Linked DNA regions of Arabidopsis thaliana. The protein of the gene in region 3 interacts with the protein of the main gene of each other region in a pairwise test. Each region holds a gene or a part of one and is shown on either strand. Other genes may lie near its edges.

Region 1 (3,755 bases), on a different chromosome or scaffold from region 3:
GCAGGAGGAAGCAGCCTCTGCGATGATTGCTGCAAAGGTAAAAACTTGAACTCATCCGTGCTTGGAACTTCCTTCACGTTGATTGGCCTCGTGTAGTTCTCAGGTTGAACCCAAGTAGGACTCAGAAGAGTGTTGTTGTTGGTGCCTGGGTTCGAAAACATAAACCTGTTCCCATTATTCGGATAAGCATCTAATCTCTTGGGAGCTCTATCATCCATTTTTCTAACCGTGAGTTTCTCTCTAAACTGTCTATGCTGTTGCTGTTGCGGTGGTTGTTGTTGTTGTTGTTGGTGATGCTGATGATGTTGAAGAAACCCTGAATTGTGCAAATCCTTGCCGAATATCTTCGTTCTGTTATCATCAATCTTTTCAGCTACAGTAACAGGTAAAGCAACAGCTCTAACCGGAGGCAAACTACTGGTAAACAATGATCTTATAGACAAGATTGAGTCTTCACTTTCAGGCAAACATGAAGTTGAGCCTAACTCAACAACACCAAGATCAGTAGGAACCAAAACAACAGTCTGAATGCCAGCAGATTTAGCAAGAAACGATCTAACGCAATAATCAGAACCCGAATTGACGACATCGGATAACCAAACAGGTTTAGCAGAGGCAAAACACTTGCCTGGACCACCTTCACCTCGAGGGAATGAGAAATACATAGAAGAAAGAAGAAACATCTCAGTGTCAGTAACTCTATCTAGTCCTAAAGCACAGTTCTCTTCTTCTGAGCCACCAAACAAATCATGAAGCTTTTGCAATACTCTCTTTCTCATAGTCTGATGCGTTTCTTCTTCTCTTCCCATACTTAGAATCCTAACGATCTCTGATTTCTCTCCTTCTTTAGGCTCTCTGCAATATCCATCGCCCCAACAGAGAACCAAATCTCCGGCCTTTGACCTGGAAATCTGCCAGAAAATGGCGTAGTTCCAAGAGAAATTAGAAGCGTTGGGTCTCTCGACGAGATCCGAGAGCTTGTTCTGCAGATTCTCGTCGCTTCCTAGAGTCATCAAGAGATTAGCATTGGAAACAGAGTTGGAAAGCAAGTAATCGAGAGCTCGTTTGCCCAGTAATGACGCAACAATCGCTTTATCGTCCTCGTTCCACACTAGGCGACCAATATTCATCTCTGCTTTCTTTTCTTTTGTTGTTTGGATCCCAACAAAAAGGAAAGACTTTTAAGAAACCCAGATCTTCAGAAATCGATTCTTAAGTCAAATGATAGGGTTTAGAAGTGTGACCCAGATGCAAATATACGGCGGAGTATAACAGTTTTGCATGGAACACCCAGAGATCTCAGATCTTGCCCCTATTTTCTTTAACAACAATTAAATGACAAAAATCAAACTCCACCAACAGAAAATGAGGAATTGAGAAGAATATATTTTTACCAGTAAAGAAGATTTGAATCAAGTCTCTTCCACCGAGATTTTCTCCTCAAAATCAGATTTTTGAGAATCCGACCCAAAAAAAAACACAAATTTTAAATCTCCCAAACCCCACCAAAATGGACAAACAAATTACCTAAATTCCCCGAAAAAGAACCCTAAGAATCCAGAAAATAAAAAAAGATGTATCAGTTTCGCTGTATCGGCTCCCTGTTTTGTCGCCGTGGCCAATTGAATGAATTCAAGGAAGAGAGAGAGTCCGACGCATGTTCTTCGTGCTCTTTTTTATTAAAAGACCAAACCCCAACAAACAAAACAAAAAACAAAACAAAAAGACTTTCATCTGAACCATGGTTAGCTACTTAACTACACAATTGAGTTTAGAAACTTAAACCGGGTCTGGTTCGATTTAGTCTTTGTCTCGAGTCTTTGATACACGACGATTGAAAACCCCTTAGATTATGTCATGGTTTTTGTCAATAATTGATTGACATAATTTTCAATTATGGGTTTTGATTAATTAAAAATTTGCAACAGATCTATCTCAACTGGTGTAGATCTAAACAAATACTATCTGACAACTCGAGATTAGATTCTCATGTTCATGGAAATAACTAAAGGGGAAACCAAACCCAAATTTAGAAGTTTGCTTTCAATTTTTAAAATTTTTGTTTACATAATTGCAAAGTATGCCAACTAAGACCGGTGGTCAAGCACCGGGAATTTTGACCAAATCAATTCACATTCAAGTTAGGCTTAAATATTCGGTTTTTGTTGTGTTTTGTTTTGTTGCAAAGACTAAAGAGTTGTTCCTTAAGTTTCAAATGCTTTCAGAATTATACAAAATAAAAGGCTTATTTTAGTTTAGATCCTTGATTATTATTTTTGGTAATATTATTGATGGTGGTTCTACAACGGGAGTAAATAATTTTTTTAAAAACAAAACAAAAAAACAAATTACTAAATAACTTGATAAATGTTGACAAAACAATTCAACTCCTTTAGAAGAAAGGAAACGCCAAGTCGATAGAGAGGAGGGCGTGAAAAGCACGTGAAGTTCACGTGGATTTAGGAGAGATGACCAGAATGAGAAGAACGTGAGATGCATTTAATTTTCTTTGGATCTCTTTTTCTTTTTAATTTCATTTTCAAATGCGCCTGCACAGCTCTGCACTTTCTCTTCTGTAACGTTTTTTTTTTCTCTTTCTCTTTTTGTTTATTCTCTCGCAACCACAATTGAATTGTAATATATTTATAGCTTTCACTCTTTAAGTCATAAAATTATCATCAAAATATAAACTACGGCTCTGCGAAAATGAATATACAATGACTATATTATTTTGGAAAAATCTTTAACAAACGATAAAGTTAAAACAAAAAATTAGTATATATAGTAATTATGGAAAATGAAGTCACGAGTGGGTATAATATATGTATGGCGGTGAGAAACACACAGCAAAAAGTGGGGACCGCGTGATTCACGTGTTTAAACTATCCTTTATTCGAGACGTTTGGGTCCCATTCCCATCTAAGTCAAACAACGACGTCGACTTACAATATCTCCAAGTCGTCAAGAATATAATATGGGCCGATATTACAATACTGGTTTTCTATGGAATTCTTGTAATGTTGGGCCACATATGTGCTAGGTCAAACGTGATATCAGCCTTTTTCCCAAACCTTAATAATGCCCCCCATCTATCCCTTATCTAGCAATCAGAATTAGAATGGGCTGTTCAACGGACTCAGTCTTGAATTCTTAAATCTCAATCTTATCATATATTTCATTGGTTTTGTTTTACCACAACAAATCGGCCTATTAGTCCAGTTAACTCTATTGTAAGAGTTGATTTAATCCCGGATAAAGTAGTGCCGGTTCTTGGTGAACTTATTCTGAATGCCACTAAACCTATCGCTTTGTTTAAATTTGTACTAACAATATATCAAGTATTCATTTATCTTCAATAATGATCCAAATTGGTTTGATTTTCACACGTGACTGTAAACTCTAGCTTCAGAAACATACTTGCAAGTTGAAGTTGTAACAATAGTTTTTCCTTAATTTTGTTACCTTATAAAAAAAAGAAAATCCCATTTTGGCGTTTATAGTTGATATATTCATGTTACAATGAATTCCGTGTTTAACGTCAACAAAATCGTCACCTTTTTGGTAACAACCAAAAAAAACACAAATCATAAGATGACTACTTTAATCTACCAACAACTCACGAAAAGGAAAAAAGAACCGACCAAAACTTAAAGCTCATCGTATGAACAAAAAAACAAATCTCGAAGCTCAATAAAAAAAGAAATATATATATACATATATACGTCACACACATATACATATATATTTTCAGTTAC
Region 2 (3,755 bases), on a different chromosome or scaffold from region 3:
CGGATGAACTGTGAAAGGTACGGTGTAACTCATGTTGCGCATTGTAAACTCTTCAGTGCCAGATCCACCATGGTTGCTCCTCCTTTGACCAGTTAAGTTGTCCACAATGTTTGTATCAGTAGGAGGACGAACCACCTCCTTTGCGTGGTTGGAAGAAGAACCACCACCTACTTCAGACTCTGCTACATCTTCGTTTTCAGCTGTTGATCCTTCATCTGTCGCAGTTGAAACATGGGATGCTTTTGTCTTCTTCTCATGCATATCAACATGAGACGAGTCCTTCTCTTTTTTCTTATCATCATTCATCCCCGGGAACCCGAACTTTCTTTTGTTCCCTGCTTCTTTCCGTGACTCATCCTCCACCCACAAAGGTTTCGTAGAAGCTTCAGCCTCAGTTGTAGGAGCTTTTGAGAGGTCATTGAAGAAATTTTGTGGAGGCTGTTGACCCGAATCACTTCTCTGAGAACCAGAACTCGGCTCTGCAGGTCTTTGAGAAGTTGGATGCAGGAAGTTCTTAAAGTCATCAATCACTTTAGCACTTCTATCGCCTCCTTCTGCCCTGTAGTTCTCTGAGGAGCTTCCAGCATTATTATTATTGTTACCCTTAGCTTTTCCTGTTGATCCTCCACAAGAAAGACCCAAGCTGAGCTCGAGCCCATTATCATCGTCCATTTTTTCTCAAACTTTTTAAGCAAACTCTGAGCAGGTCAACAGATCTTCAGAGCACCGTCAACAATCTTGATTACCATCTGAGAAAAATACATCATGGGCAGAAAAGGACTCATTATCCAAAGCTAACCAATGGTTTCTAGAAAAAAGAATCAAACGCAAAGCTAAGAACTTTGAGAATCATAGATGGCTGCGGAAGTAAACTTCTTCTAAATTTATAAAAAGAAACACATCTGCTTGAACTTGCAACAAACATCACATGCTTTGCCAAAATCAATCCTAGTATTCAGTATAACAAATTAACAAGCTACCAGAACTCTCAGAAACATTGGACTCGGATAGTACCTTAGAAACAAAACCATTGAAAGAAACAATTCAGCAATTCTCCAGAAACTTTCTTCTCGCTCCTACCAAGTACCTTTTGAGTTCTGTGATAACAAAAAAAGACCATTTCTACAACTTAGGTTCTGAAAACCCCCAATATTCATCATTTCCATTTTGAGAAACTAAACTAAAATGGAAACAAAGCAAAGACACACATCACTCACACTTGTATGTCAGCTAACAAAAAAAAAAAAGGAATCAAAATCCAGAAATCAGAGTGAGAGATAGCACAAAGATCTAGTAACTGATAAGACACTATGCAGATCTGTCAGCTAAACGAGCTACATACGAAGAAACAAATCAATTGACTTTCTAAAGATCGAAATCATCAAAAGAATCATAACCTAGACGCGATCAGATTAAAACCCTGACCCCTAACTACACAGCAATAATGCCAAATCAGCTCAAATTAAATCACAATAAGCCGAATAAAGCTAAAACAGAAGCCGAAATCAGAATCGAGAAGATGAAAACCTGATGAAACCGAGGAAGAAGACGAACAAACCCTAGAGCTTCTTCGCAGCGTGGCGGCTCCTAGACAGTTGCATCAGCGATTGGGGCTTCTTCGGGTTCGGACAACTAGTACGGACCATTTCCCTTTTCCCTTCGTAATACTAATAATTATTATTTTATTGTACAATTAGTTTCGATTTCGTCCATGTGTATCTTGTGCATTTTCTTAACTTTTGAATAAATAACAATCGTATAGTCAGCATATATACTACATGTTTGCAATCATGAATATATTTGTACATTGTACATGTCCAATGCATGAATAGAAATACATGGGCCCAATTTTCTTTTTAAAGCCAAACTAGTCCATAACTATTCACATCTACCAACAGATTTTTCATTTCTTTAACAAGTTTTAGAGGAAACACATATGACATATCTTATGCGTTTTTATAAAGATATACTAAAAAGTTGGTCACATAGTATATAATCTATATTTTCTAGTCACCACTTTCTTTAGAATAGTTGGATAAGAGAGACAACATTACAAGATATGCTAAAACGATTTAATTACTCCATATGTGTGTAAATCGTCACTTAATTTAATACTTCAAAATTTCCTTCGAAAAAGACATAGCTAAAGATATGTGGGGATAATATATATATATATATATATAATAGTATCAAAAGCTGTTTGCCAAAAAAAAAAATTCAAAACGATAGGTTTATATATATATATATTTTAGATTGATTCATGATCAATAAAGTCGCTTTGGCCGAGTGGTTAAGGCGTGTGCCTGCTAAGTACATGGGGTTTCCCCGCGAGAGTTCGAATCTCTCAGGCGACGTTATCATTTTATTTTTGATATTTCCAGCTTTTTTTTCTTTGTCAGGCTTTTCCAGTTTTTTTTCCTCCTAAATTGACATGGTTTTATTTTTTTTGTACAAAAAATTGACATGTTTTTTTTTTAATACAAAAATTGACATGTTAAGACTTAAGACTAAAGAGGAAATTGGAAATTGGAAATTTGAATATTATAAAATAAAATTATCTTATGTTGTAAAATTTTAATGGCATGAAAATATGTTACTTATGTAAAAATAAAATAATGAAAACAAACATGGTTAATAATATTGAAAAGCTACAACATGAATAAATATATACTTTGATTGACTCATAAGCAATAAAGTTACATGGTTTTTTTTTTATTATTTCTGATGCTATTATTCATAGTTTTATAAGTTTGAAAAATAAATTAAAAAGGATCATTAACAATTCAAAGGATAAATAGACTTGTTTCTCTCTTTTTAATCGTCATATTAAATACCATAAGATGTCGAATTTTTCAACCTAATGTCTACGTTGATGATGTTGTGGCTATCCACCGTGAGACGGTGAAGAAGACCCCTCACCGTCTCCCACATACAAAATCGCCGCCGCCTATCACATTGTTTCAAAGAAACTCCTCCTCACCGACTTGCTCTCAATAGAAGTGAACTCCCATCTCCCAACCCTAGTCCCAGGAGCCTCCATCATCGTTACCAACAATTCACGATAATACAACTCTAAATATTATTCTCTCAGCTTCAACTTCTCATGAAAATCATATATGTTTTGTTACTCTTCAAAAATCCAAGGAATAAAATGATAGAAAAAAATATATTCTTAGAGCTCTTGGTGATTTCATACTTGTCTTGATTGATATCACAATATTCAGAACAAGTAATCACAAGTAGAAGACAAGCTTTAAAAAGAGGAAGAAGAAGAGACTTGTAGTTATTGCATTGAGAACAAGTAATCACAGATTCACAGTATAGTCGTCATCAAAGGACTTGAAGTCAACCCTACGGTAACTTTTTATTGAGCAGCAGAGGATGAGCATTCCGGTTCAGGTTTACTCTAGGGCGGTTCATCCTCCCCAATTAAATCGCTTGGTATGGCTTGCCAAGAGTCAACTTCTAGACGAATGTGTCCCGGTTTTCCATCCATGGCTTTCCGTACTATTGTTTGGTACTCGACATGCTTACCACTCGGATGATGATCACCACTGCCCTTGAAACCCATGTAGAAGATAGCGTTGTTGGCCTTGAGCTTCAAGTGCGGCGACTCTTCACAGCTCTTCCGAGTCTGTACAATTACATACTTGATCTTTAATGGTAGAAAACTCCTCACCAGCGAGCTCTTTATATGATACAAAATACATTTCATTTGGTTAGTGAAGAGAAGTGGAGGCAAACATAACATCACG
Region 3 (3,755 bases):
GTAGACTTGATAGTATTATATAACTAATACTCACGTGTTTCTTAAACTGTTTTCCATTATAACAATTAGGACAACCCAAGCTAGAGACCAACCAATATAATCAAAGATGAATGGCCACATTTCCTTTAATAATACTCTGATACGGAAGCTTCATGAGAAGCTAAAAGAGGCGTGTTATAATTTTCTTTACCATATACTAAAAAATAAAACAAAAGTAGAAGGTCACGGGATAAGAGAGAGCTTCTTAAATCAAGCTATCAATGACAATAAAGATAATAGACATTTTTAAAAACAAACCAATATATATAATCTTAGTAGGTAACGTAATCTCCTAAAAACGTTTGTCGTGAATAGTATACGATTTAGCAACGACGAAGAAGGCTTCAAAAGAAGATTGGAAATAAGCCAAATCCAAAAACGAACATGGATGTCTTCCGATTGAAAAAGACAAATTTGGTCCATGTCCCAATCTAAAAAGAGATCGTTTAGGCCGATGTCGGATAGTAAGGAGATGTTGATACTAATCTGCAAACACAACAAGACGAAAAAGAAAATGTGAAACCGCGTTTTGTGATAACTTATATAATATACAGATCTTTCTTTGGCCGTATGGTCTGATAAAAGTAAAAGTTCAAATTTTTTTCCGGTGTTTCTCCTCGTTTTCTCATCATTTTGAAAAATATAACTTGTCGGTGTAGCAAACAGAACTAGAGTCAAAGACTCAAAGTCAACGCGCTTTTTAAAAGTTCCATTACAATAGTAACCTACGTATACCGATATTACTACTGATCTCCATTATCTATCTACGTATAAGCATGTGCGTTGTTGAACAAAACTAGTTGAATCTTAAGTTGTATGTGAGAGTAAAAGAGGCAGGACCCATAATTACTATCTTAAATAACTTATAGTAAAAAAAAGGTCGAGAGAGAGAAAAATAAAAACCTTTCTTTAATTATTTGGGGGTAAAAATCCTTGGATTGTTGAAGAATCATTACCTCTCCTTGCGCTTCTCGAGAAAACGTTGCAGTGACTTTCTCCTTGCGATGGGAAGATCTGCATACACACGCATAAACCAGTTTCTTATCAGAAATTAAACAACATGTTTATACTTTTATTAATAACGTATATTAATACGTATAGACATAAACTATAGTCTTTAACTCTTTGATATCTAATTCCAAACTAATTAGCAACCAATTCCTCTCTAACAACAAACTCTTCTTAGATCTCTACATGCAATAATATGTAACTAAAATTCTAGAAGAATCCAGCACTAAGTGATTTTTATTTTTATTATACTAACCTCCTTCTAGATTCTGGCCAAAGAGCTTTGGTCTTAGAGTGGTCGGAAGAATTACCGAAAGATCTGTCTCCATCGACGACTCGTCTTTCTTAGATGCTGCTTCATTAGCGACCTTCATAATTTCACCAGCTTTGTTACGAGACACTTGGAAAACTGAAACACTTCCATTGTAGAAAATCGTCATAGGAACAGTTCCCGAAACGAGTTCGGTACTAGACCTGAGGAAAATGAATGTTTTGAAAATTTGAATTTCAAATTTTTTCGTCTTTTCTGGTAGCGCCAAAAAAGTTAGAAAGAAAAAAAAAACTTTACCGGAAAGACAAAAATACCTGGCGAGAGACGCGTGGACCGGAGAAATCGGGATCTGAGGCTGATCTTCCCTCGGAGTAGACGGAACCGAACGAGATTTAGCCGATGAATCGGAATTGTTTCCAGTGGAAGCTAACAGCGATTTGATAATCTCCGGATCGATTTTCGAAATCGCACCTTGAATATCTGCAGGAGTTCCATATGAATAAATTCGATTTATCGCAAGAAAAAAAAAAGAGAGAGCGACTAAAAACCAAACGAACCTCGGAAACTACGACGGCGATCGAGAAATTTCTGGAACTTAGGCTTAGGAGCGTTGTTGGTTTGTTTCTTCTCAAGTCCGAGGAAATCGAGTTCTATGGTAGCTTTCGACATCTTCTTTGATCTTATTAGAAAGTGAGAGAGAGATCAAGACAGAGAGATATGGGTTTTGAGATGAATAAATGGAGGAATAATAACGGATTCTGATTTCTCATGTGAGAGTTTTTAAAATGTAGTATGTCTCTGATACTTATTTAACGCACGAGGTTCATGCTTTCTCTTTCTTTTCGGCACAATTGGCAACCTATCCACTTTTTCCTTTTTGTTTTGTTTTTATTAGGCTCCCAACCTCTTCTCTTACTTATCTAATTAATTTAATGATTCAAAACACATGTTTAAATTCTTAATATACCTAATGTAATGTAATTGCTTGCTACGCAGAAAGAAGATATTTTATATCCGGAAATAACGGAAGTCCAATGAACATTGTAATGTTTTATAAAAATATATCTTCAAAAATTTGGTAACATGTTTCTGTTACTGTTCGTCACATTGGGTTCTTCTGACATTATATTTGTTTTCTACTCTAGTCTCTGATCTGTATATTTTTCTCGAAACATGTTTTTCTTTTCCATTTTTTCTTAATATGAATTTTAATCTTGCTACTACTAGCTCTACTAGTATAGCAAATCACATTTAGTAGATATCAGTCTTATTGATTTTTCAATATAAACAAAATTTGACATTACTATTCAAGAATAATATTTGGTTGACCTAATAATACAACTGAAATTTCTTACATTTCTAAACTAAAGTACACCAATAAACTTTCATCATATTTGGGAAAGTAACCAATAAAACATACAAATAGGGATTTTAGAACAATAAAATGTTGGTGGTGATTCACAGTTAGTGTTTTGAAAGAAGAAGAAAAAATAAGATTTTCAAATCCATTCAAAAAAAGATTTAAAGAAAACACCACTGCAGATGCATAAAGACTAGGTCAAGTCGGAACTTGGAAGTTTGTTTTCTGCCAAACCAGAAAAGACGGGTCGATCCTTTGGACGATGTCGATGGTTTTTCTTTTCTTTTCTTAGTTTCACATTTTGGCTGGTGTTTTTTTTTCACATGTGGCCGCTCTTTTTCTTGTTCTCTTGTTTAAAGCATATGTGGCTGCTCGTTTCCTAACAGATTTACATATTATTACATTGTTCTCAAGTAAAGTTATAGAGGGATTCAATGAACTCACGTTTTTCTTTCTTGTGAAAATATACCTTGAACCACTTCCGAATTAAATTGACCTCAATTTTCTATCTTGTGCTCAAATTTAAACTTCACCTTATTCTATCGCGCGCATGTTAGCTTAATTAGTTACATTTCTCCTTTTTACTATTTTAAATTAAAAATCATATAACTACAAAATGTAGTGATTACGAAAAGTAATTTTTTTAATTAATATTCTGAACTAATCAAATATTAAAAAAGAATTACGTATAAAAAACTTTTTTAGTAGTATATATTTGATGCCGAAAGTGAAAGTTTTTTTTTTTTTTTTTTCTTGGCAACCGAAAGTGAAAGAGTTAGATGCATGTCTTTCACGTGTTGGGAGCTGTAGTAGTAGTAGTTAATGTCAATACATATCATTATTCACTAGGCTAAGGTGCACTTCTCGATAAGTCTTTAGAGGTTTTCGTCGCTCTCTTTCATCTTCTCACGTTCCAGAGTCAATACGCCTTATTTATTCTTTTTCTTCCGATTATTTTTATTTGTGTTATCACACGTTTTGTCAGTGCTGCCGATTTTTAATGTCGATGTATTTTTCAAGCTGACTAATTTGCCCCTCTGTCCACCTTTCATATACGACCTTACCCTTCTTTTGGCC

What was found.
Region 1: the proteins of JAZ10 (region 3) and AT1G01260 interact in binary tests that used the Arabidopsis thaliana proteins (3 or more experiments, as listed by UniProt).
Region 2: the proteins of JAZ10 (region 3) and NINJA interact in binary tests that used the Arabidopsis thaliana proteins (3 or more experiments, as listed by UniProt).

Annotation. Positions count from the first base shown.
Region 1 is NC_003070.9:106,970-110,724, reverse strand, and holds the start of AT1G01260 (basic helix-loop-helix (bHLH) DNA-binding superfamily protein), read right to left. Parts: upstream 1,780-3,755; 5' UTR 1,395-1,779; exon of another isoform or gene 1,320-1,394; 5' UTR 1,131-1,319; coding exon 1-1,130.
Region 2 is NC_003075.7:14,265,009-14,268,763, forward strand, and holds the start of NINJA (Putative interactor of JAZ), read right to left. Parts: upstream 1,779-3,755; 5' UTR 1,528-1,778; intron 1,137-1,527; exon of another isoform or gene 1,098-1,136; 5' UTR 1,015-1,097; intron 750-1,014; 5' UTR 673-749; coding exon 1-672. Other genes in the region: AT4G28920 (hypothetical protein (DUF626)), read right to left, coding at 3,407-3,634. UniProt on the Arabidopsis thaliana protein: Acts as a transcriptional repressor. Negative regulator of jasmonate responses. Connects the JAZ proteins and the non-JAZ protein TIFY8 with the TOPLESS corepressors.
Region 3 is NC_003076.8:4,217,233-4,220,987, reverse strand, and holds JAZ10 (jasmonate-zim-domain protein 10), read right to left. Parts: upstream 2,161-3,755; 5' UTR 1,988-2,160; coding exon 1,876-1,987; intron 1,799-1,875; coding exon 1,304-1,798; coding exon of another isoform or gene 1,299-1,303; exon of another isoform or gene 1,054-1,298; coding exon 992-1,053; coding exon of another isoform or gene 949-991; 3' UTR 526-948; coding exon of another isoform or gene 486-525; 3' UTR 75-485; downstream 1-74. UniProt on the Arabidopsis thaliana protein: Repressor of jasmonate (JA) responses. Interacts with and suppresses RHD6 and RSL1 transcription factor activities to negatively regulate jasmonate-stimulated root hair development.